Rhinolophus ferrumequinum: one gene and its partner. The main gene of each other region encodes a partner of the protein of the gene in region 2 in a complex. Links are inferred from orthologs where the notes say so. Each region holds a gene or a part of one and is shown on either strand. Other genes may lie near its edges.

Evidence for each region.
Region 1: GPKOW (region 2) and SNIP1 share a complex: the UniProt entries of both Homo sapiens proteins name them as parts of the minor spliceosome. The link is inferred for Rhinolophus ferrumequinum from reciprocal best matches to the Homo sapiens genes GPKOW and SNIP1.

The regions. Positions count from the first base shown.
Region 1 is NC_046292.1:26,221,893-26,232,029, forward strand, and holds the start of SNIP1 (smad nuclear-interacting protein 1), read right to left. Parts: upstream 4,097-10,137; 5' UTR 4,013-4,096; coding exon 3,786-4,012; intron 2,306-3,785; coding exon 2,206-2,305; intron 1,361-2,205; coding exon 759-1,360; intron 1-758. Other genes in the region: DNALI1 (axonemal dynein light intermediate polypeptide 1), read left to right, coding at 4,986-5,066, 5,617-5,762, 7,513-7,682, 8,716-8,894, 9,221-9,385. UniProt on the Homo sapiens protein: Required for pre-mRNA splicing as component of the spliceosome. As a component of the minor spliceosome, involved in the splicing of U12-type introns in pre-mRNAs. Down-regulates NF-kappa-B signaling by competing with RELA for CREBBP/EP300 binding.
Region 2 is NC_046284.1:85,589,441-85,600,488, reverse strand, and holds the start of GPKOW (G-patch domain and KOW motifs-containing protein), read right to left. Parts: upstream 4,786-11,048; 5' UTR 4,717-4,785; coding exon of another isoform or gene 4,694-4,716; 5' UTR 4,598-4,693; coding exon 4,422-4,597; intron 3,679-4,421; coding exon 3,524-3,678; intron 3,429-3,523; coding exon 3,304-3,428; intron 1,509-3,303; coding exon 1,399-1,508; intron 638-1,398; coding exon 427-637; intron 1-426. Other genes in the region: uncharacterized protein LOC117016622, read right to left, coding at 5,822-5,829, 9,120-9,245, 9,999-10,145, 10,653-11,048. UniProt on the Homo sapiens protein: RNA-binding protein involved in pre-mRNA splicing. As a component of the minor spliceosome, involved in the splicing of U12-type introns in pre-mRNAs.

The DNA of each region.
Region 1 (10,137 bases), on a different chromosome or scaffold from region 2:
GCTGGAGGGCGGGAAATTCATGGTGTATCAAAAACTTAAAATGCAGAATCCAACGCCTCTTTCCATACTTCAGAAAATATTAATACATTTTTGTGTGTTGTTTATAATCAATATAACACTTCTTTCACCTATATTTCAACATATCTGATCTTCTATCACTACGGGAATAAAGCAGTAGATTTGGACTTCAGAGTTAAGGGAGCTAGATTTAAGTCAGAGTTCTACTATGGTGAACATTTACTAGGCAAATCACTTGGCTTTCCTGAGCTTGTCTTCTCACCTGGCAAATAGGGACATTAATACCTGTCCTGTCCTCCTCACAGGATTGTTGGGAGCCATCAGCCAATAGCAGATGTACTATGCAAACTGTCAGGAAACAGATGTGGCCAACATATATGCAGCTAAGAAACAGATGTGGCCAACCAGGCATTCTCAATTATGTTTCCGTTTAACCCTCATAATAGTCCCGTGAGGTAGGCAGAAACTGAGGCCCAGAAAGTGGCTTGCTACAGGTCAAACACCTGGTATGTGACCGTGTCAGGATTCAAACTCTGGATTCTTGACACCACGTTCAATGCTCTGTACAAATATCAGTGATCATTCAAAGGGCAGTTAGGCTAACACTCCCTAAGGCTAGTGTCAGTGGTGAGGGGTACGGGTTCTTCTGCACATACTGTACACAAAACTTAGTACCCCTAACTACCTGAGGCGTTAGCTTCTGCTCACCCTTGAGTTTCTTCCCACAAATGTATACCCACCGATACTGAAAGACCGCGTGCTGCTTTGAACACGAGGGGTGATCGATTGGAATGTCGGCGATGCGGCGGTGGCGCCCCAGCAGGTAGGCGCTCTGACGATGGATGTACATGACTGGAAGCACCTCATCGTTTTTAAAGGGGTAGAGACGCCACCGTTTTTTGGGGATCCGTGCTTCTGGGGGCTCGCTATATTTAATGACTACACCCCGGAAGGTGTTGGTGTCCTCAAGAAGTGCCCCAGAAAGTTCAAAGCTTGGCTTTTCCTTCGCGGGCACCTCTTTATCTTTGTTGTTGCCACCAGTTCGAGGAACCAGCTCCTGAGACTCATTACTGCTGGCAGTAACTTCATTCTTCTGGCGATGCTCCCGCCGTCGGGCGTTATAAAACTCCCGCTCTGCTTCCTGAGGCTGTAGGTTCTGAAGGTTTCGGTCCCGGCCCTGAGCCTGCCCACTCCCAGGCCTCTCGTTAGACGTTAGCCTCTGGTGGGAATGGCCCCTGTGCCTGTCTCGGTCACTGTTCCTGGCTCGCCTGTGTTCCTGTCCTGATGCTTCCCGGTGCTGCCGATCCTCCCGTCCTCTCCGGGGAGGATGATCCTCCCGTTCCTGAAATTCAAACCCATTCAGGAAATCAAAGGCAGTTCACAGCCTATGAACAAGCCGCATTCAAAAGGAATGTGATTTGGGCTTTGGCCTTCAAGAGCAAAATGTCGCCCAGAAATAAGGTTATCAGTGGTGGTGATGTACCTGTCCAAGGTCACACTGTGTACCCCATGCTGAAGCCCAGCTATAGCTCTAACAGTGCAAGCCCATGTTCAGTGCCCTAGAAACAAGAGCACCTGCAGGCAAACTTATAGGGGAGCATATACAGAAGAGAGAGCTAACAGAGAGTCATGTACAAGATAAATACGTAAAGAAAAACAAGCTAGCTTTCTCTTATGCCAAAAATGAAAATGTAATAGTAATTTTAAATTATTTCAACAGTAACAAAAGTCATTTCATACCCAGGAATACACTTAAGAAATATGTAAGATCTGATGTGACAAAATTATAGAAATGGACAACAGAAGTTGCCAATTGAGGGGTATAAGTGGGAAAGTAGTGGGTGTGACTGTAAAAGGACAACAAAGGATCCTGTGGTGGTGATGAAAATGTTTTATATCTTGACAGCGTTGATGTCAATATTCTGGTTGTGATATTGCACTCTAATTCTGTACAATACTCATTGGGAGAAACAGGATACAGACTATACGCCATTATTACTTTTACAGCTGTATGTGAATTAATAATTATTTCAAAATAAAAAGTTTAACAAGACAAGCAGAAAAACCCCCACCCAGTTTTGAGAAAAGCCCATTGCAGGTACAGGTGAACACACACACAACACTCCAGCTATGACGGAAAGAGGCTCCAGATTTGGACCCAGTATCACAATAGCTCAATCCACTTACCAGCTTCACTTTGACTGTTGAGTGGTGAGGACTTCGGCTTCTGTTACTTCGAGGAGACTTGCTTCTTCTCCCTGAGGACTTTTTCTTTTTGGCTGGGGATCTTAAGAGAATGAGACACACAGGATTTTATCTCAATGTCCCTTCCCCATATAAATTACCTTCCGATATCAGGCTTACTACTACACAAATACCACATTTTTGAAGGTCTCTGCTTTTCACACTGTAGGAGTTAGGAGCTTCACTTTCCTAGCCCTAACCTCTCCCAAGTTCCAGACCCACAGACATAACCGCTTACCAAACCCTCTCACTTACCATGTTTCCCTGAAAATAAGACCTAGCTGGACAATCAGCTCTAATGCGTCTTTTGGAGCAAAAATTAATATACCCGGTATTACATTATATTATTATATTAATTATACTATATTATAATACCTGGTCTCATATTATAGTAAAATAAGACTGGTCTTATATTAATTTTTGCTCCAAAAGATGCATTAGAGTTGATTGTCCGGCTAGATCTTATTTTCGGGGAAACACGGTATATATGTAACATAACTCTTGATTACCAACCCTTCAAAAACCTTTCCTTTTTGCCATCTCAGTAAATAGCATCACCATCCACCCCGCTACTCAAGCCAAAAACAAGAAGTCAACCTTGATTCTTTTTTTTCTCACCACCAACAGCTTCCCACACCCGTCCCTGCAATCACATTCAATCCATCAACAAGTCCTCTGGCTCTGTCTCCTCTCTCTCCCACCTCATTCCAACCACTCTCCTTGATCGCTACACTGGATTTTTTTCTATTCCTAGAACAATCACAATTAATTCCACTTCAGGTTCTTGGCACCTATTGTCTTCTCTGCCTGGATCTTCCCAAGGCTGGATTACGGATTAGTCTTACTCAGGTCTCAGCGCAAATGGCACCTTTTCAGAGCTGCCTTCTCCCACTTCCCTCCAATCTCTATCGCATTACTGTTTTAATCTATCCCTAATACTTGTTACTAACTAAAACTATTTTCTTCATTTGCTAGTTATTTTGTCTCAGGGCTAGAGCATGTTAATTCTGAGAAGGTAATGACCATCTACCTTGTTCACCCTTGTGGCCCCAGTACCTAGGGCACATAATAGGTACTCAGTAAAACTATGTTGAATGAATAAATGAAGGAGTCTAGCAAGAGACTTTTTCCCCCCAGAAGTTCTATCAGGTAGATCTCCTAGGCCTTCCATACGGAAATCTTTGGGGCCAGGTTAAATGTAAAGACAACACTCGCACTCCATGTGCAGGCAGGTGGGGAAAACCTTTCATTTCAACTTAAACGATCCGCTGGCTCATACTCGGCGAAGCGCTGAGCACACAGAGATGAAAGGGCAGGATCCCGTCCATTGGGTGCTTAACACCCAGCTACAACACAGGTTGACAGGTAAACAGTAACACAAGCACCACCCCGATCTCTTTCACACCTTAGAATTAAGTGCAAGCCGCTGCGCTCAGCGTTCAAGGTGTGTTTCTGACGCTAGCTCGGTCCCCCTTTCTCAACGAGCCCGACCTAAGGTCCACTCCAGGCTGCTTCCCACTTACCGACTACGTGCTCGGGCTCGGTTCCCGCGGTGACCAGGACGTCCCGGCTCGCCGGCCGGTGGGGACGCACTACCGCCGGAGGAGTCCGGACGGCGGTGGACGGGAGGAGCGGCCTCCGGGCTGAGGCGCTCCTGCTTCACCACCACCGCCGCCGTCGCCGCCACTATGTCCTCGTCCCGGTGCTTTCGCCGGTTCCCCCTCTCTCGCTCGCTCTTCACGTCCTTCATGCTGAGATATCCGAGGAGCGTAGGAAAAACTACGTCCGTTGCACTGCTCTCGCTAAAGGAAATGACGGGCTAGACGCCTGGACTTCCGCTTCTGCGGTGTACGCTCTCCCAGAAACCCTCGCGAGGGAGAAGCCAAACACGTGACAAGGACGCTCTTGTGGGCGGGGCTGTAGTGAGGCGACTCGGGTGGCGGGAGTTTTGTTTCCAAAGCCAACCTCTCGGAAAAAGCTAGTCTCGAGGCTATTTGTCGTCGCATCATTAGTAATTATTAAACACGGTGACCACCTAAATGCCCATCAGTAGGGAGTTGTTTAGCCAATTGATGGATGTTATATTGCCACTCACAATGCTATTTACAAACTCTATATGACAAAAGGAAAAAACCCTGACTTGTTAAACGACAGAAGCGGGATACAAAATTGTGCGCAAACTGTGCTTACATTTACGTTTGGAAATACGAAGGAAATGAAATCATATATGGTAGCCCGTGGGCAAATCATTAGTATTTTCCCCTCTAGTTTTGAACTTTCTGTTACGTTGTCATTTCTCCATTTAATTAGAAACAAATACTTTTTAAAACCTGAGAACTACAGATGTCTTCTGGGAACCTTCCCCAATCCTTCACTGAGAAGTCAGATGACTTCCACCTTTGCAGGTAAGAAAATTGGGGATCAGCAAAGGAGACCTGCCACCTCATTCAGGTTGAGAGCTACACGTGGCGCAGGAACCGAAACCCCTGTTTTTCTTTCTCCCAAGAGTGCCGGAGCGATTCGGTGAGCAGGAGGCCTGACGAGCTAACCGCAGAACTTTTCGTGAAAGCCATGCAGAAAAAAAATGGAGCTCTGCTGGCCCCGCCCAACTTCGAAGCCCCGCCCAGGCCGTGAGACTGGGAGAGGAGGTTTCCATGGTGACGGTAAACAAGGCCCAGCCTGGAGGGGCCGCTGCTGGGCTGCTTACTACTCCAGTTGCCGCCATGATCCCTCCCGCGGACTCTCTGCTCAAGTATGACACCCCGGTGCTGGTGAGCCGGAACACGGAGAAACGGAGCCCCAAAGTAAGGACGAATCTCAGGGGACGCGGGAGCCTGGTAGCTCTGATGGGGAAATGACAGATTCTAGCCTACAGGATAGGGAGTCCAGAGGGACAGAGGCTGAAACGACTGGGAGTGAAGGGAACTGGGATGGGTGAAGGATGGGTGAGGGAGAGAGGTACAAGAAGCCCAAATGTTGGGCGACTCCAGAGGGCAGATTTAGAATGGGGAAGTCACAGGGAGATGAATGGGGTTCACTCTTTTTCATGGTAGCCGGGTCCAAGAATAGATCTGGTAGTGATTGCCCCATTACTAGAGGTGTGAAAGCAGAGGCCCGAGCACCGTGCCAGAAACATCTGTTCAAGGAGATACAAGCATTGGGTTGGGGTGAGACCAGAGACTCTACACCGCCTCCTGCAGCTCTGAGACATAACTTCTGTTGAGAAGACAAATGGGAAAATGAGCTGGGAATAGGGGAGGGGTGTGCTGGAGACCTGGAGCAATCCAGAGTGCCAGGACCTGCGGAGCTCAGTGTCTGAATCACCTCCTGTCTTAACTTGTTCCTTCTTCTCAGGCTCGGCCACTGAAAATCAGCCCCCAGCAACCTGGACCCTCAGGTCCAGTCCCACAACCACCAAAGACCAAGCTCCCCACAACTTCCTGTATCCCAGATCCTACAAAGCAAGCAGAAGAAATCTTGAATGCCATCCTGCCTCCAAGGTAAAAAAGGAGGAACAGTGGCTGGGAGAAGGCCCAGGCTTTTCCACCCCTGAACATGGGACTGTGGAAAGAGGAACCCTGTCTCTGTTCCTGGTTGGAATTTCCTCCCACCATCCTAGAGCTCCTGGTGCTTGCAGGTGGCTGGATCTTGGAAGGGTGGTGGGGAGATCTCAATCTGCCCTCACTTCCTGAGTGCTCTCACTCAGGCTCGTGGCTTTAACTACCATCTATATGCTGATGGCTCCCAAATGTGTATTTCCAGCTCTGCCCTCTCCCCTAAACTCCATATATTCTACTACAACCTCATTACCTCCATGAAGATGCTAGTAGATATCTCAAACTCAACGTGTCCAGACGTAATCACAATTTCTTCTTCCCCCAACCTGCTCATTCCCAGTCTTCTCCTTTCTACTAGAGGCTCAGGTCACCTCTCATTCCTTTCGGTCTTTTACATTACAATGTCCTATCCTTCATCAAGTTCCTTTGGCTCCACAAATCTGACCACTTCACCACTTCTACTTCTACCGTCTTGTTCCTAGTCATTGTTAGTCACCTGCACTACTGCAGAGGCCTTCCTATCTGAAAACCCGGCTCCACTCTGCCCCTACAATCTATTCTTAGCACAGTCCCGAAATCATAAGGCAGATCACGCCAGGCGTCTGCCAGAAACTCCTTAATGGCTCCCCATCTCACTCAGACTGAGACCCAGAGTCCTTACCGTGACCTGGAAGACCTCGCGTGATCTGGCCCCTGATGTACCCATGATCTTATCTCTTATTCTCCTTCTGTTCACGGTGCTAATGCCACAGGGGCCTCGGCTCAGTGTCTCTGAAACACTTCACTCTTCCACCTCAGGGCCTTGACAACTGCTGTTCTTCTCACTGCCAAAGATACTCTCCACATGATAGCCACCTGGTTGCCTTCTTTCTTCACTCAGGTCTTGCTCAAATGTCGTTTCCTCACGGAGGCCTTCCTTGAGAATTCTTATAAAAGAGTACCTTCTCTCTTCTTCTTTACTCGGCTTCTTTTTTCTGTAGCCTCATTTATCACTATCTGACATGTTTTTCTACTATTTTTACGTAATAAGTTGACAGTTTTTTTTGTTTTTTTGTTTATTTGATTTTTAAGTCTATGATGAAAAGAGACTGCAATCTCCTCAGAGATAGAAGTCAAAGAAGGGGGAGGGGGTGATTTCTCAGTAAATTACTTCCCAGCAAGCAATGCATGAAAGTCCTCTCCCCCATGGTGGTTCTGCCCTTGGGCTCCCCCCTTAGGATTCCAGAATGGGGCCATGCCTCTTGACACGAGGTTTAGTATAGGGAGGGCTACATGCCTTCAAGAATTTCTCCATTCCCCAATCCACACGTTGGCCTCTTTCTGACTGGCACAAGGTTTATGGTGCCCCGTGTCTCCCACCCCACAAATCAGGGGGCAGTTCCTTCTGGGCCTTCTGTTCAGATTAAGCAACAACCACCAATTTGCCCTCTACACATTAGGAGGGTAAGATCTGGAACATGGGTGATGATTTCACAGTGGGAGAGTAGAGATTGCCCAGCCCCAAGGTAGGGGACCTGTGGAGGCAGCTTAATGGACATGGCTTTGGAGCCACACATTCCCCAAGGAAGAAAGGGGGACAGAGTTGCCCTTCACTCCTGCTCAGGCAGAGAGCTCAAACGGCCATCTCACTCGTGTCCTGAGGACCGTCTCTGGTCAATGGGTTTCGCTCAGCCTGGCTGTGTCTGTGCCACAGGGAGTGGGTAGAAGACACGCAGCTATGGATCCAGCAGGTGTCCAGCACCCCCAGCACCAGGATGGATGTCGTACATCTCCAGGAGCAGCTGGACCTGAAGCTGCAACAGCGGCAGGCCAGGGAGACTGGCATATGCCCTGTCCGCAGGGAGCTTTACTCGCAGTGTTTTGGTGAGTGGCCTGAGGACTGGGGGAGGGTACACTACATTCTGCTGTCTCCTTCCCTTCCCCTCCAGCACAGCCCCATGCCCTGAGGATCCCCGAGCTGAAGCTCCCCCATACGACAAAGCAAGGATGAAAATCTGTCTTTCTACCTGCCCCACCCAGGAACTGCTAAATACACCCTCTTCCCCCTCCCAGCCCCGCCTCTCCTACCCACTTGCCAGTCAACCTGGTTCCTGACAACCTGGTGCCTCACCTCTTAGCAGATGTTTGGAGTAAATGAGAACTTCCATTTTAAGTCTTTGTTTTTTCAAAGATTTCTATAATAAGTATGTATTAATTTTTTTCATCAGAAAGTTTTACGTTCTATATTTATATCCATCCATCAACATTCAGCCTTTGGTCCAGAAAAATATTTCAGGGTAATTTGTTAACTGACCGACACAGGGATTTACGATCTCCCTCCCCAAGTGCTGGTGTGACATGGCTGTCCCCCAGCCCAGTCTCACTGGCCCATGTGGACTCTGACATGCAAACTGCGTCCAGTTTGCACGTGTCTGTGCCACCCTGCTGCCTGAGTATGATGATGGTTTGCCCTCCAGCCCAGCAATTATGGAGGAGATGGGTGGACAAGCTGTTTCCAGCCCTAAACCAGTCCAGCCAGGGAGGCACATTGGATTTTTCGGCTGCTTTAAAGCAGCCACCATCTTCAAATTGAAAAGTCAGATTTCTATGAATAGTACCCTGTTCTTGGCTGAAGATGGAAGAGAGGAGCCTCACGGCTGCAAACAAACCTGGGGCTCCTGTCTCCCTCTGCCCTGGGCTTGCCGACTGCCTGTACTCCCAAGTGCCAAGTTCAGAGCACTGGCTGCACGGCACGGCTCCTGGGGCCACTTGAAGGCCCCTCCCCAGATGTGTCTTCAAGTGAGGAGGACACACCCTAAGCACTCGTCCCAGTAGGAAGGGTGGCTTGCAGTAGACCTGGTGCATTTCCCCTCCCGCCTGCCTTCTCTGACCTCCCTGTGTGTGCGTGCATTGGAAGATGAGCTGATCCGTGAGGTCACCATCAACTGTGTGGAGAGAGGCCTGCTGCTGCTGCGAGTCCGCGATGAGATCCGCATGACCATCGCTGCATACCAGACCTTGTATGAGAGCAGCGTGGCGTTCGGCATGAGGAAGGCGCTGCAGGCCGAGCAGGGGAAGTCAGACATGGAGAGGAAAGTGAGTGGGTTTACCGCCCTCTGGAACTCTTCTGTCTGTCTTAGGCCATGTGGTTGTCATTCTGACCCCCTAGGGTGCACTCCCATCACCTCAGTGAGCACCCCTTGGTGCAGAGTGTAAGGGCCAGCCTGGCCATTGCCCTGAGAAGGGCCCGTTGTCTCCTCTTGGACGAGCCGTGCCAGTCACTGACCTCCCACTGGGTGGCAGTACAGACCCTGGCAATGTCTTGGGTTGGACAGCCGTGTTCCAGGTCCCCTCCGCCCGGGCACTCAAGACACCCCATCCACTTGGCGACATCCCAGGACGACTGGGGGTTCTGTCTTTAGATTGCAGAATTAGAAATGGAAAAGAGAGATTTGGAGAGGCAAGTGAATGAGCAGAAAGCAAAATGTGAGGCCACCGAGAAGCGGGAGAGTGAGAGGAGACAAGTGGAGGAGAAGAAGCACAACGAGGATATTCAGTTCCTAAAGCGGACGAATCAGCAGCTGAAGGTAATCCTCGCACAGGCCCAGGTGGAGGTGCTCTCCTACCTGTCCTCCCGGCCACACGGGCCAAGCATTTGGTTCCTTTTCCTCCAGACGACTTGAAATACTTGTCCACATGTGCTGCCAAGGAGTACAAGCAGCTGACTCTTGTGGGGCTTGGGGGTGGGTGAGGGTCCATTACCCAGATTCTCCATCCATCTGGCTCTGGAGGGGACCCTGCTCCCAACTCTGAATCACCACGACACCTCAGCCTGGCTCTCCAGGCGAGAGAATTTGTTTCCCCTTGGAAAAAAGCTGACCGTCCTCCGGAGAGGTGGATATGGGCAAAGTGGAACTTCATTCCCACGGCAGCCGGTGATTTGGAGCCTTGTATACTTTTCTTCACCTGAGCTGAAGGGAAGGCGGGGCCAGGTTTCTGAAACTCCAGGCTCTCTCTCTGCTCCAAAGGTTCTTATAGGTTGGGTTCCAGACCAGCATCATCATCACCTGGCAACTTTTAGGAACAGAGATTATTGGGCCCACCCCAGGTCTATTGAATCAGAAACGGGTTGGGGCCCAATAATCCGTTCTAGCAAGGTCTCCAGGTGATTCTGATGCTTGCTAACCACTATTCCAGATACAGCGCCCGTTGACATTTAGTGGCTGTCTCCCATGGCCCTGGCCAGAAGGGCCCCCTGGATTTTTCTCCCTCTTCTCCCTAGTCTCATAGAAACCTTCCATTCTTGTGACTGGCAGACTTGTTGGCACTACAAACCAAG
Region 2 (11,048 bases):
GGACCAAGCTATTCACCCTTCCCTCCAATGTGCCCGACCCCTGTGCCTCCCCCAGAAAACTGTGACCCCGGAGGGCTGAACCTGGGCCTGGTCAATCTCCCTAAGCAGACTGTAACCCCTGGGGTCGGGGACGAGGCCAGATCCCCGTGTCTCCCCTACCAGACGGTGGGACTTGGACATATTTTAAGCATTTAATCCTCAGGGACTCGTGGTATGACCTTCTTTCCTTTCAGTTGGAAACTGAGGCTCAGAAAGGCCCTGAAAGTGGTTCTGAGTTACCGAATGAGGCAACAAGCCAGGCAGGCCTAAAAGACAAAGACTTCCATCCAGCCTTTCTACCCCAAACCTAATTCTGCCTCCCTCTGAATCTCACATCAATCTTCTCTGCTGCCTGTCTTGGGTTCCAGGCACATCTTGGTTTCTTACCTTCCCATAGAGGCCTCGGTGAGGGCCAGAAAGAACCATCACAGCTCCTCCAGGCACCAGGCCTTGAGGCTGATCTTCCTTATCCTTCTCTTGCTCATCTGGCCTCAGCGGGCGGTGGGGACCCGAGGGGGCCAGGGCCTGGACCTCAGTCAGGTTGGCGCCCAGCCCTAACCCTTTGGGCCTCAGTGAGTTGACACGGGGCTTCACCACTCTGCAGGGAGCACAGAATATGGGCTTGTTGGGGGATGCAATGGTCTTTAATGCCCCACTCCTCCCCTGCACCCCTGGCCAAATCCCATCCTACCAATATGTTCAATAATATATTTCCCCATCCTATGTTGGGACTGTTTTTGGCCTATAGAAATGGCAATTTCATTTGGTTCAACCTAATAACATGCTGTATATACCATCCATTACGTAGTATCCACAGTGTAACCAAATACACTAATATTTCTACAAGGGAAATCATACAAATATTCACACCAAACAGGAGAAACAGACTATAAAAAATTCAATGTCAATCCAGATCACATTTGGCTGCCAAAGGGTTTATGAAAAAAATATTTGGTTTTCAAAATTCTTTGGCGTTCAGAACTGTGAAGGGACTGTAAGTCCACGTGATGACAGCAAATGTCCAGTCAATGCTTATTTGGGTCCAGGGCCAACTATGAGTGCTTTACATGTATAATTTCACTCAATTCTCCACTGACCTAGGAAGTCCGTGCTGTTACTATCCACATTTTTCAGATGAGGAAGCTGATGCCCAGAGAAACAATCTTGCCATAAATCGGATCCCGTTACGGATTTTCAAAGGGCAAATAGGAGTTTGAAGCAGTAGTGGAAGAGACTGCTGAATTGGTTAGGATGGTAATGTGCCCTTCCCGTGCCGGGATGGTTCTGGGGGGGCAGTAACCGCAGGGGTCTTGTCCATTGCCTTGTCTACTGTCCCCTTACCCCTACCCCAGAACTCACTGATTGAAGGTACGGCCGATGCCCTGGCCGGGTTTCCAGCCCATGCCCCGCAGCATGGCCAGCCCGTAGGCCTCCACAGGGACTGCCTCGTAATTGGCCTCCTCCGGCACCTACACGTTCAGGCAGAGGAAGGGTGGTCAGGCTTTGCGCATGGTGGGTCCTCAGAAGTGCATTTGCTACTTCCCACTGAGATCCTCACTGCTTCTTTTCCAGTCAGTTCAAGGGTAACTTTTGATTTCCCCTCACCATCCCTCACTTTACTCCTCCACTTCAGTCTTTCAACAGATATTTACAAAGCACCTGTTCTGTGCCAGGTACTGTTCTAGGTGCTAGGGAGAAAGCAGTAAACAAAACAGACATAAACACCTGCTCTTCTGGAGCTTACATTCCAGTTGCGGGACACACAATAAATAAAATACATAAAACAGGATATGTCAGGTGGTAATAAATTATGTGAAGGAAAATAAAGCAGGTTAAGGAGCTGCAGAAGGATGGAGAAGGGAGTGTCACTGAGTTGATATTTGAGCAGAGACCAGAGGAGATGACAGAGAAAGCCATGAGGATGTGAGAAGGAAAAGTGTTCCAAGCAGAGAGAACAGTAAGAGCAAAGGTACTGAAGCAGGACAAGATCTGGTATGTCTGAAAAATATGAGGAAAGTCAACCTGACTGAACTAGAGATATGGATGTAGAGAGGGGTGGTAAGAGATTAATTAGGAGAGCTGGGCAGGAGCCACAAGGGAGACCATTGAGACAGTAACTGCAGCAGTCCAATGCCAGTAGTGATGCTAGTGGCTCAGACCAGCACAGTGGTAGTGGCGACGGGGAGAACTGTTCCGATTTTAGAGGTATTTTGAAAAGGAATATGATAGGATTCTGCTGAAAGATTGTATTGTGGTATGAAATAAAGAGGTGCGTCAAAGGTGGGTGCTAAGGTTTTTAGGCTGAGTAAGAGAAAGGATGGCTGTAAATGTGATCAACTGAGACGTGGAAAGCTGAGCAAGGAGGAAAACTGAGAGAAATGAGGCCAAAGCTGGAAGAGGATGGAGAGTGAAAGTCTTTTTTTCTTTTGTATGATGAAAGAAACCAGAGGACATCTGAAGGCTAATAAGAAAGTTCAGTCAAAAGAGATGGTGGTCTGGGGCTGTAGGAAAGTCAGGCTCCAAAGCACTGCAAAAAACAAACTGTGAATGAAGAGGTGAAAAGAGGGTCCATGGGTATGAAAGACAGACTTGGTTACTTATGTAGACACACCCGTTACCTCCCATCATCACTCCCGCAGTTCTTTATATTCGCTCCAGATACACCATAAATTGCCTCACTGTCGGACACGCACCACATTGATTTCCTGCCATCATGCCATGGTCTGGGTCATTGCTGCCATTAGGAGTACTCACCCTGCTCTCCCTTTTCTCACTAAACCCTACCTGTCCTTCCAGGCCTCACTCCTACCACTCTGGTTTCAGTCTCCATCACTACTGGTCACCTTGCTTCCACCTCTGCTTACTTAGTCTGTTCTGTTCACAGCAGCCAGAGAAATCCTGTCAAAACATAAGTCGTGTCCTTTCTCTGCTCAGAGCCCTCTCCTCACTCTCATCTCATTCAGACTAAAATCCACGTCCTCACCACAGCCCACAAGGCCCTGCCTAGTTCAGCCTTCCCACTGATGAGCTCATCTACGACCCCTCCCTCTCCCTCATTCCACTTCGGTCACATCAGTCCCCTTGGTGTTCCTCAAACACTCCAAAGGATGGAAGGACGGGTAAGTAGTATGCATCATCACACACACACACACACACACACACACACACACACACACACACTTCTCCTGCTGTGTGCAGGGAGGCAAGCCTGTCAGACAGGGAAAAGAGAGGCTGGGAGAGGAGGGGGGCGAGGGGCCAGCTCACTGTCTCAGCCTGGGGTTCACTGTCTGTGCCTTCCCCGTTGGGAGTGCATCCTTTCTGGATCATGGGGATAGCGAGCGTGGGGTCAACACCTGCATTCTCGCTCTCCTCCAGAGACTTCTTGGATTCTAAGGAAGAATGGGAGCAATGAGGTTCCACCCTTCCCTTCCATTTTCCTCCTGTTCTTCCTTTACTGGGGCAAGGCAAATGGGGGATCACTCACCCTCAATGAGCTCCTTCACAGCCTGGGACAGCACCCCATCCCCCATGGCCTCAATATCTGTGGATGGCCCCGGGGCCTGGGTTGGTGGCTGCCTGCGATGGCCATACTGGATCAAGGGGATGACGAGTTCCTTGGGGGCTTCTGAGGGCTTTACACTAATGTGAACACAGAAGGGTGAAGTTGGGAGAGTAGTATGGTCAGTGGGTTGAGCCACACCCCTTCATTCAGAGAAAACACAAGAGCCAAGCTCACCCCAAGTCCCATGGACAGCGCCCTCGGTTCTGTCTGGCTCTCCTGTTAGGTCTCTCATGGTACTTTCTTTGGATTCTCTCCTCCACCCCCAACTCCTAATTGTGCCTTTGGGGAATCAGTCCTCAGTCGATGGCTTCCACAATGACCCACAAATCACTATATTCAGCCTGTATTCTCTCCCCAGCTCCAGGCTCCACACCTGCCTCCTTGGCTGGTTGATTTTTTTCTGGAAATCCCTCCCTCAGACTCTCCTTTCCGGATTAAGCTGACGAAGGCATCCTCCAACCTGAATCTGTCGCTCCATCCCGTTTCCCCGTATCAGAGAAGCCCCACCGCATCAGTTGAGACATTAGGGGTCCTGTAATTCTCTCCTCTTTTCCTTCTCTCAGAACGCACACATCTCAGGGTTCCTAAATCCTAAAGACACTCCCTCTCAGGAATCCATCCTCTCTTGTCAATCCCCACGGCCATCAGGCTCAATTTCTCCACCTGTCCTACAAACTCCCGCCTTCTCGCCTCCACGAATTTCCTCTGGCGGTATTCAGGCTTTCCAGGTCACTGTCACCGAGACAATCAACTCAGATTGCACCCTCCCACTTGCACCCAGCGCACCGACTTCCAAGGGATGAACGACTCGGCGCTTCACCTCTGCAACTCCCTCCCTTCCACGGTCTTCAAGAAATCCTTCTCCTCCGGGGCCGCACCCGCGCCGTCTCCTGGGCCCGCCAGCCGTCTCCGGGCGGACGTGCGACTAAAGCTGAACGAAATCGGGGCAGTGGAGGCTCCCGCCGGCCGCAAAACACCTTCTTCCGCATCCGCCATCTTGCCCCTCTTCCCAGGCTGGTGAGCTGCTTGCTGGGAAGGTTAGTTTGGGCTCGGGTTGCCCGGGACCTGACAACTAGCGCTAGAACTACCTACCTTCCCACAAAATACTGCGGCATCGACAGGTGAAAGCGGGCGGTGGGAAGCAATTGTCGCCCTTTTTACTTCATAGGCGCGCGTCGCGCTAAGCATATAGGGAAATGTAGTTCTTCAGGGAGGTAGGCGTGGTAGGAGGCTGATTCATTCTTAGCAGATATTCAGTACTTCGTGTAGGCGTTTGACAAGTATTTATTGATCGCGTACTGTGTACACGTTACTGTGCCCTACTGGTGTGAGAAGTGTAGGCAAGATAAATCATTTAAGAAAAAGTGTGAATGCCAGTCGTGTACAATAAAAAATAATAATAGAGCCATGTAAATGGTGCCTACCGATACCAGATTTAATACTGGACAAGCTCTGGATTCAACTATTAATAAAAAATGCACCTCCTCCTTTCTAGAGGCTCATAGTGCAGTGGGGAGCAATGACACTTAAACAAATATTTAAAAAATATTTCCTATCAACATTAAATATGTTGTGAGACCCAGATCCTAAGTCTTCAAAAGATTAATTAGACAGGTTCCCCTTGTGTATGACCTTAAGAGTTAGTAAAGTAGAAGACTGTTACTTAAACAAATAGTCACAAGAAAGAATACTACAAATATACAAAAAATTCATCCCAAAGAAATCATTGAAGATGTGCAAAAGGATTTTTATATGAGATTCATCATACTATTATTGTAGCAAGATCTTGAAGACCTCTTAAATGAACAACAGAAGAGGATGAGGCAAAAAGAATTATAGTACATGTCTTGGATGGAAATCATATACTTGAGCCTTTAAATGTGAAGCTATAAATATAATGAAATGAAATGGAAATGTTTGGAAAGTAGAATCTTATGGTGGGGTCAGAGGATTGTCTTGAAAACAGGAAGCCCATTATTTGATCAATCTCGTGGCCATGTTTCCAGGCTTAGAATCCCTAGGCATCCTGGAAAGGGCCCTGGAATCTCGAGAGAGAAGCCACTGTGGTTTTCAAAATATACAACAACAAACATCTTTTAATTTTTATTTTGAAATAATTTTAGAATTAAAAATAGTAAGAGAGTTCCTGTATATTCTTCATCCACATCCACCTACAGGATAGTTAACAAGATTATGTGCTCTCTTGAGGGTGGTTACACTTCAGGGGTCTGAAAAAGAGACATTTCAAAGGTGTATTAACTTAGATGCACAGAAACAATGGATGGGGCTTGCTTAAGGCCAAGATAAACCTTTTACTAAAGAAGTTATATGCCTGGGATGAGACTACCCACCATAACCTACCCAATTAGGAATTTATGATCAATCACCATATGAGGTTACTTTTGATTAGATTTATTACAGTGCCCCTCCCTTTTTTGTCCAAAAGGGCTTTGTGAGCAATTAAGAGGAGGCAGGTATCTCCATGATAGCAACAAGCAAAACAGGAAAGAAACAGCTAAGGAGAGCCCATCTAAGGGGTTACTTCAGAGCAAGCTGCAAAGACTACCCTCAAAGCTTACCTACCCCATACAAAAGGCCTGACTTTAATTGGATAAAACTATGGAACAAATTATGCCCTACGGCATTGTCAAAAATTAGTTTAGATTAACAGCTGGGTATGGTATCAATATAGGCATACCAACCAGAAATTAAACTAGGAGATCAGGGAAAGAAACAAAGAGAGCCTGGATAAAAGTAAGGTCATTTCAGTGTGTCTGTGCTCATGCCTAAGGCTGAACCCTCTGAAGAGGTTCGTGAGGCAGAAATAGATTTGACTAAATTAGTATAATCAAGTCACTAAACAAACAAGCAAACAACAACAAAAATGGGCAGATCAGTACCTAGAGTTGCTACAATGTTATATAAAATGTCCAGTTTTCAACAACGAATTATGTGACATGCAAAGAAACAAAAAGATGTGACCCATATGTGGGGTGGGGTGGGGAAAAGGAAACAGAAACTGCCTGTTAGAGGGCCCAAATGCTGGACCTAGCAGATAAAGATTTCAAAGTGGTTATTATACATTTGTTCAAAGAAGTAAAAGAAATCATGTATAAAGACTTAAGGGAAGGTATGATACTGTGTTTCCCCAAAATATGAGCTAGCCGGACAATCAGCTCTAAAGAGCCTTTTGGAGCAAAAATTAATATAAGACCCGGTATTATATTATATTATATTATATTATATTATATTACATTACGTTATATTATATTGTATTATATTATACCGGGTCTTATATTATAGTAAAATAAGACCAGGTCTTATGTTAATTCTTGCTCCAAAAGACGCACGAGAGCTGATTGTCCAGCTAGGTCTTATTTTCGGGGAAACACGGTATGTAACAGTATTTCATCAAATAGAAAATGTCAATAAAGAAATAAAATTACCAAAAAAAAAATGACCAAATGGAAATCCCAGAGTTGAAAAGTACAATAACCAAAATGAAAATATTTCACCAGAAGGGCCAATAGTAGATTTGAACTGGCAGAAAAAAATAATCAGTGAACTAGAAGAGAGATCAATACAGATTATGCAATCTGAAGAACAGACAGTAAAAGGAATCAAGAAAAACGAACACAGCATCAGAGAAATATGGGACACCATTAGGTTCACTGACATATGTGCAATGGGAGTATCAGAAGAAGTGGATACAGGGCCAGCCCGGTGGCTCAGGCGGTTAGAGCTCCATGCTCCTAACTCCGAAGGCTGCCGGTTCGATTCCCACATGGGCCAGTGGGCTCTCGACCACAAGGTTGCCAGTTCAATCCCTCGACTCCCGCAAGGGATGGTGGGCTGCGCCCCCTGCAACTAGCAACAGCAACTGGACCTGGAGCTGAGCTGCGCCCTCCACAACTAAGACTAAAAGGACAATAACTTGAAGCTGAATGACACCCTCCACAACTAAGATTGAAAGGACAACAACCTGACTTGGAAAAAAAGAAAGTCCTGGAAGTACACACTGTTCCCCAATAAAGTCCTGTTCCCCTTCCCCAATAAAAAAAATAAATAAGTGAAAAAAAAAGAAGTGGAGACAGAGAGAGGAGCAGAAAAATTATTCTAAGAAATAATAGCTAAAAACATTCTAAATTTGGTTAATGAACTTTTAATCCACATGTTCAAGAAGCTTAATGAACTCCAAATAGGATAAATGCAAAGAGATTAATACCCAGACATATCATAGTCAAAATGTCAAAATCCAAAGAGAAAACATTGCAAGCACAAATGTAATTGCAGAACAAGCTCAAAATGGTCCTATCCTGTTCAAGGAGATACTGAGTTGCTTTTCAGAGACTACAGACCAAGACTGCAAGTCGTGCAGTCAGGGCATGTGCAGAGGAGAGAACTTTAGCCTCCAGCTGCACCTGGAACCAAAGTCTTGTCCCCCAACTCATGGAATCAAAGAACCAGGACATAACCGGAACTTGAACACCGGAACACTTTCAGAAGCCAAGGGCCCATTGTCCAGGAAGATCCGGTGTTGATGCCCCTTTACCATCAATGATCAAGATCCAAGGTCCTCCAATTAAAACTTGCCCCATCAGAACTTCCACATACCTGTTCCCCCTTGCCCCTTAAAAACCATTGGCCTGGTCCAGCGAGCAAGATGGCATTGAAGCACCACGAGGTTTTCCATCTTCTCATTTGGGCGCCTTCTCAATCAATAAACCTTTCCTTACTCCAAACTCTATGATGTTTTGAGTTTTGTCCAAGCATCAGGCACACGGATTTCGGTCTGGTAACCAATGAGAAAAATCACTCTTTACATACAAGGTAACCCCAGTAACATTATAAGCTGATTTACTATCAGAAGCAATGGGTTCAGTAGACAGCTAAAATCATTCTTAATGTGAAAGTTTGAATAGTTTCTATCCAAGATCAGAAACAAAACAACAATGCTGCTCTTGCTACTTCTATTTAATATTGTCCTTGAAGTTCTAATCAGGAAAGATAGACAAGAAAAAAGAAATTAAAGGTATCCAAATAGGAAAGGAAGAAGTAAAACCATCTCTATTGCAGATGACATTCTATAGAAAATTCTAGGAATCCACTAAAAAGCTATCAGAACTAATAAGCAAGTTTGGCAAGGTTACAGGATTGATCAGTATACAAAAATCAATTGTATTTCTATAAGCAAAATAAAAATGAAATTAAGAAAATAATTCCATTTACAAAAGCCTTAAAATAATAAAATACCTAGAAATAAATTTAACAAAAGAAGTGTAACAAATGTACTGTGAAAACTACAAAACATTGTTGAAAGAAATTACAGAAGACCTAAATAAATGGAGAGACATCCAACATTGACTTGTGCTAGATTCTCAGGCTGACCCTGTCCATTGCTCTCCTGCAGCTCCCATCCTATTAAGCTATCCTCTCCCTCCCCAAGGTTCCTTAAGCAAGTCTCCAGCTCATGGAGTTTTTAAGCTCCTCAAAAAACCCAAGGTATTTCACAACTTACTGTATTTGCCATGCTGGGAACTCCGAGTGGGAAGCAAGGGGGCCTTCCATGACAGGAGATTTTCCGTGACATTACTGTCTTTTTTATTTTTGACATTACTGTCTTTACAGTCCAACATGCTACCTGCTGGGGGATGGCAGAGGCTATGAAACCTGTTTAGTGAATCTCCATAGAAGCCACGTAGGTCCCGCCCCCTAATTTAACGATCTAGCTTTCATCTCTTTGAACTTACGTCGGGCTTTGACCACCATTTAACTACCTAGGCAGTGTCCTTTCAAGGCTTTGCCCACAGAAATAACTGTCTTTATCCCGCCTTCTTAAATAATAATCCTGGGACCGGCTACTTGAATCATCCTCCAGACCTTCCTACTTCCCTCTAAACACGCAGACCCTGCCCCTCAAATAACACCCTAGGCCCATCCGGGAGGGCGCACTCTCCAGGATTCGACTCCTGAACATTCCAGGCGCCACCCTCTAATTAGCCTACACACCTCAGCCATTCCCGACATTTCGAGCCCCGCCCACAATGCATTTATAGGGCCCACCCTCTAGACACCATTCCAGTCCCACCCCTTAGCTAAGTGGCGGCCACCAACACGCTCCAGGCCCCGCCTCCTCAGAAATGCCATTCTAAGCCTCGCTGACCTCGCTGGGGATAACCATCCATCCTCGAACCCTCATCTAATCTTCCAACACTCACCTACGGTACTGCAATAACCCTCCCAGGGTCACCTCCTAGAGGAATAAGCTAGCATAACCCCAAGGCCCCGCCCCCCGAGTCTCCCTCCGAGCCCCGCTCCCCTAACTCACACCTGCCACCTCAGAACTCAGCTGTACTCCAACCCCGCCCCCGGGGGAGGCCCCGCCCCCGACACTCACCGTCCTTGGGGAGCAGGCGCAATGTGGCGCCCGCCTTGCGTACCAGTACCGCCACGTCCGCCGCAGCTCTGGCCGCCAGGGGTCGCGCATCCAGCCGCGCCAGGAGCCGCCAGGCTCTGGGGCTCGCCCGCTGGGGAGGGCGGCGGCCTGGGAGGGGGGAAAAGAACCGGTCAACACCCACCCCGAGCCTCGGCGAACCCCCACACTCCCCGACGTCCGAAGACTAGAATGCCCCTAGAACTCCCAGAGCCCCGACCACTCCCTCCATAGTCCCAGGGGTCGCCGACTGTCCCTGTCATCTCCCGCGACCCCCAACCATCGCGGGTACGCGCGTGGACCCCCGCCGGCCCCCACGATATCCCTAGAGACAGCTCTTTGACCGCAGTATTCCTGGACACTCCGAACACTCTTGTGACTATCTCTGGACGTCTCCGACTGCCCCCTCATAACCTCCTATTCCAAACTCTTAACCCCGCAATATCGAGAGGGACCCCGATTCCCCCAGATGTCCCAAGAGAACACGGTCTGACCCCCTGTGGCCCTGAGACCCTCGACTCCCCCTCCAGATACCCTAGGCAACCTTGGTGGCCCACGTAGCCCCAACTGCCCCTCCACTTATCCCTAGAGGCCCCCGCCTAAGCCCCCGCAATTCACCAGAGACCGTGAGTGCCCAGGTGTCCCCAGTGACCCCGGGCAGACCTCTCCGGCACATCTCCGGAGACCCCTGAGAGCCCCCGAAGCCGGTGCGCGGCCCTGCGGCGCGGGTGTGGGTGCGGGTAGCGGGCCACGAGCCCAGCCGGGGTCGCTGGGTCCATACCCGCCGCCGCCGCCGCCGCCGCCGCCGCCGCCGCCGCCGCCGCCGCTCGGGCACCAGGCCTGCCTTGTTTACCACCTGTCGGAAGGCAACTGGAAGGAGCAGACAGGCGGGGCGAGGTGTGGCGGGGAAGCGCCTACCCCATCCCCACCCCCGTACCTCCTCTGCTCCCCCTAGGGTCCGTGGCGACCCCCGCGCGTGGCTCCATGACTTGGAGTCGCTCGGGTGGACGCACG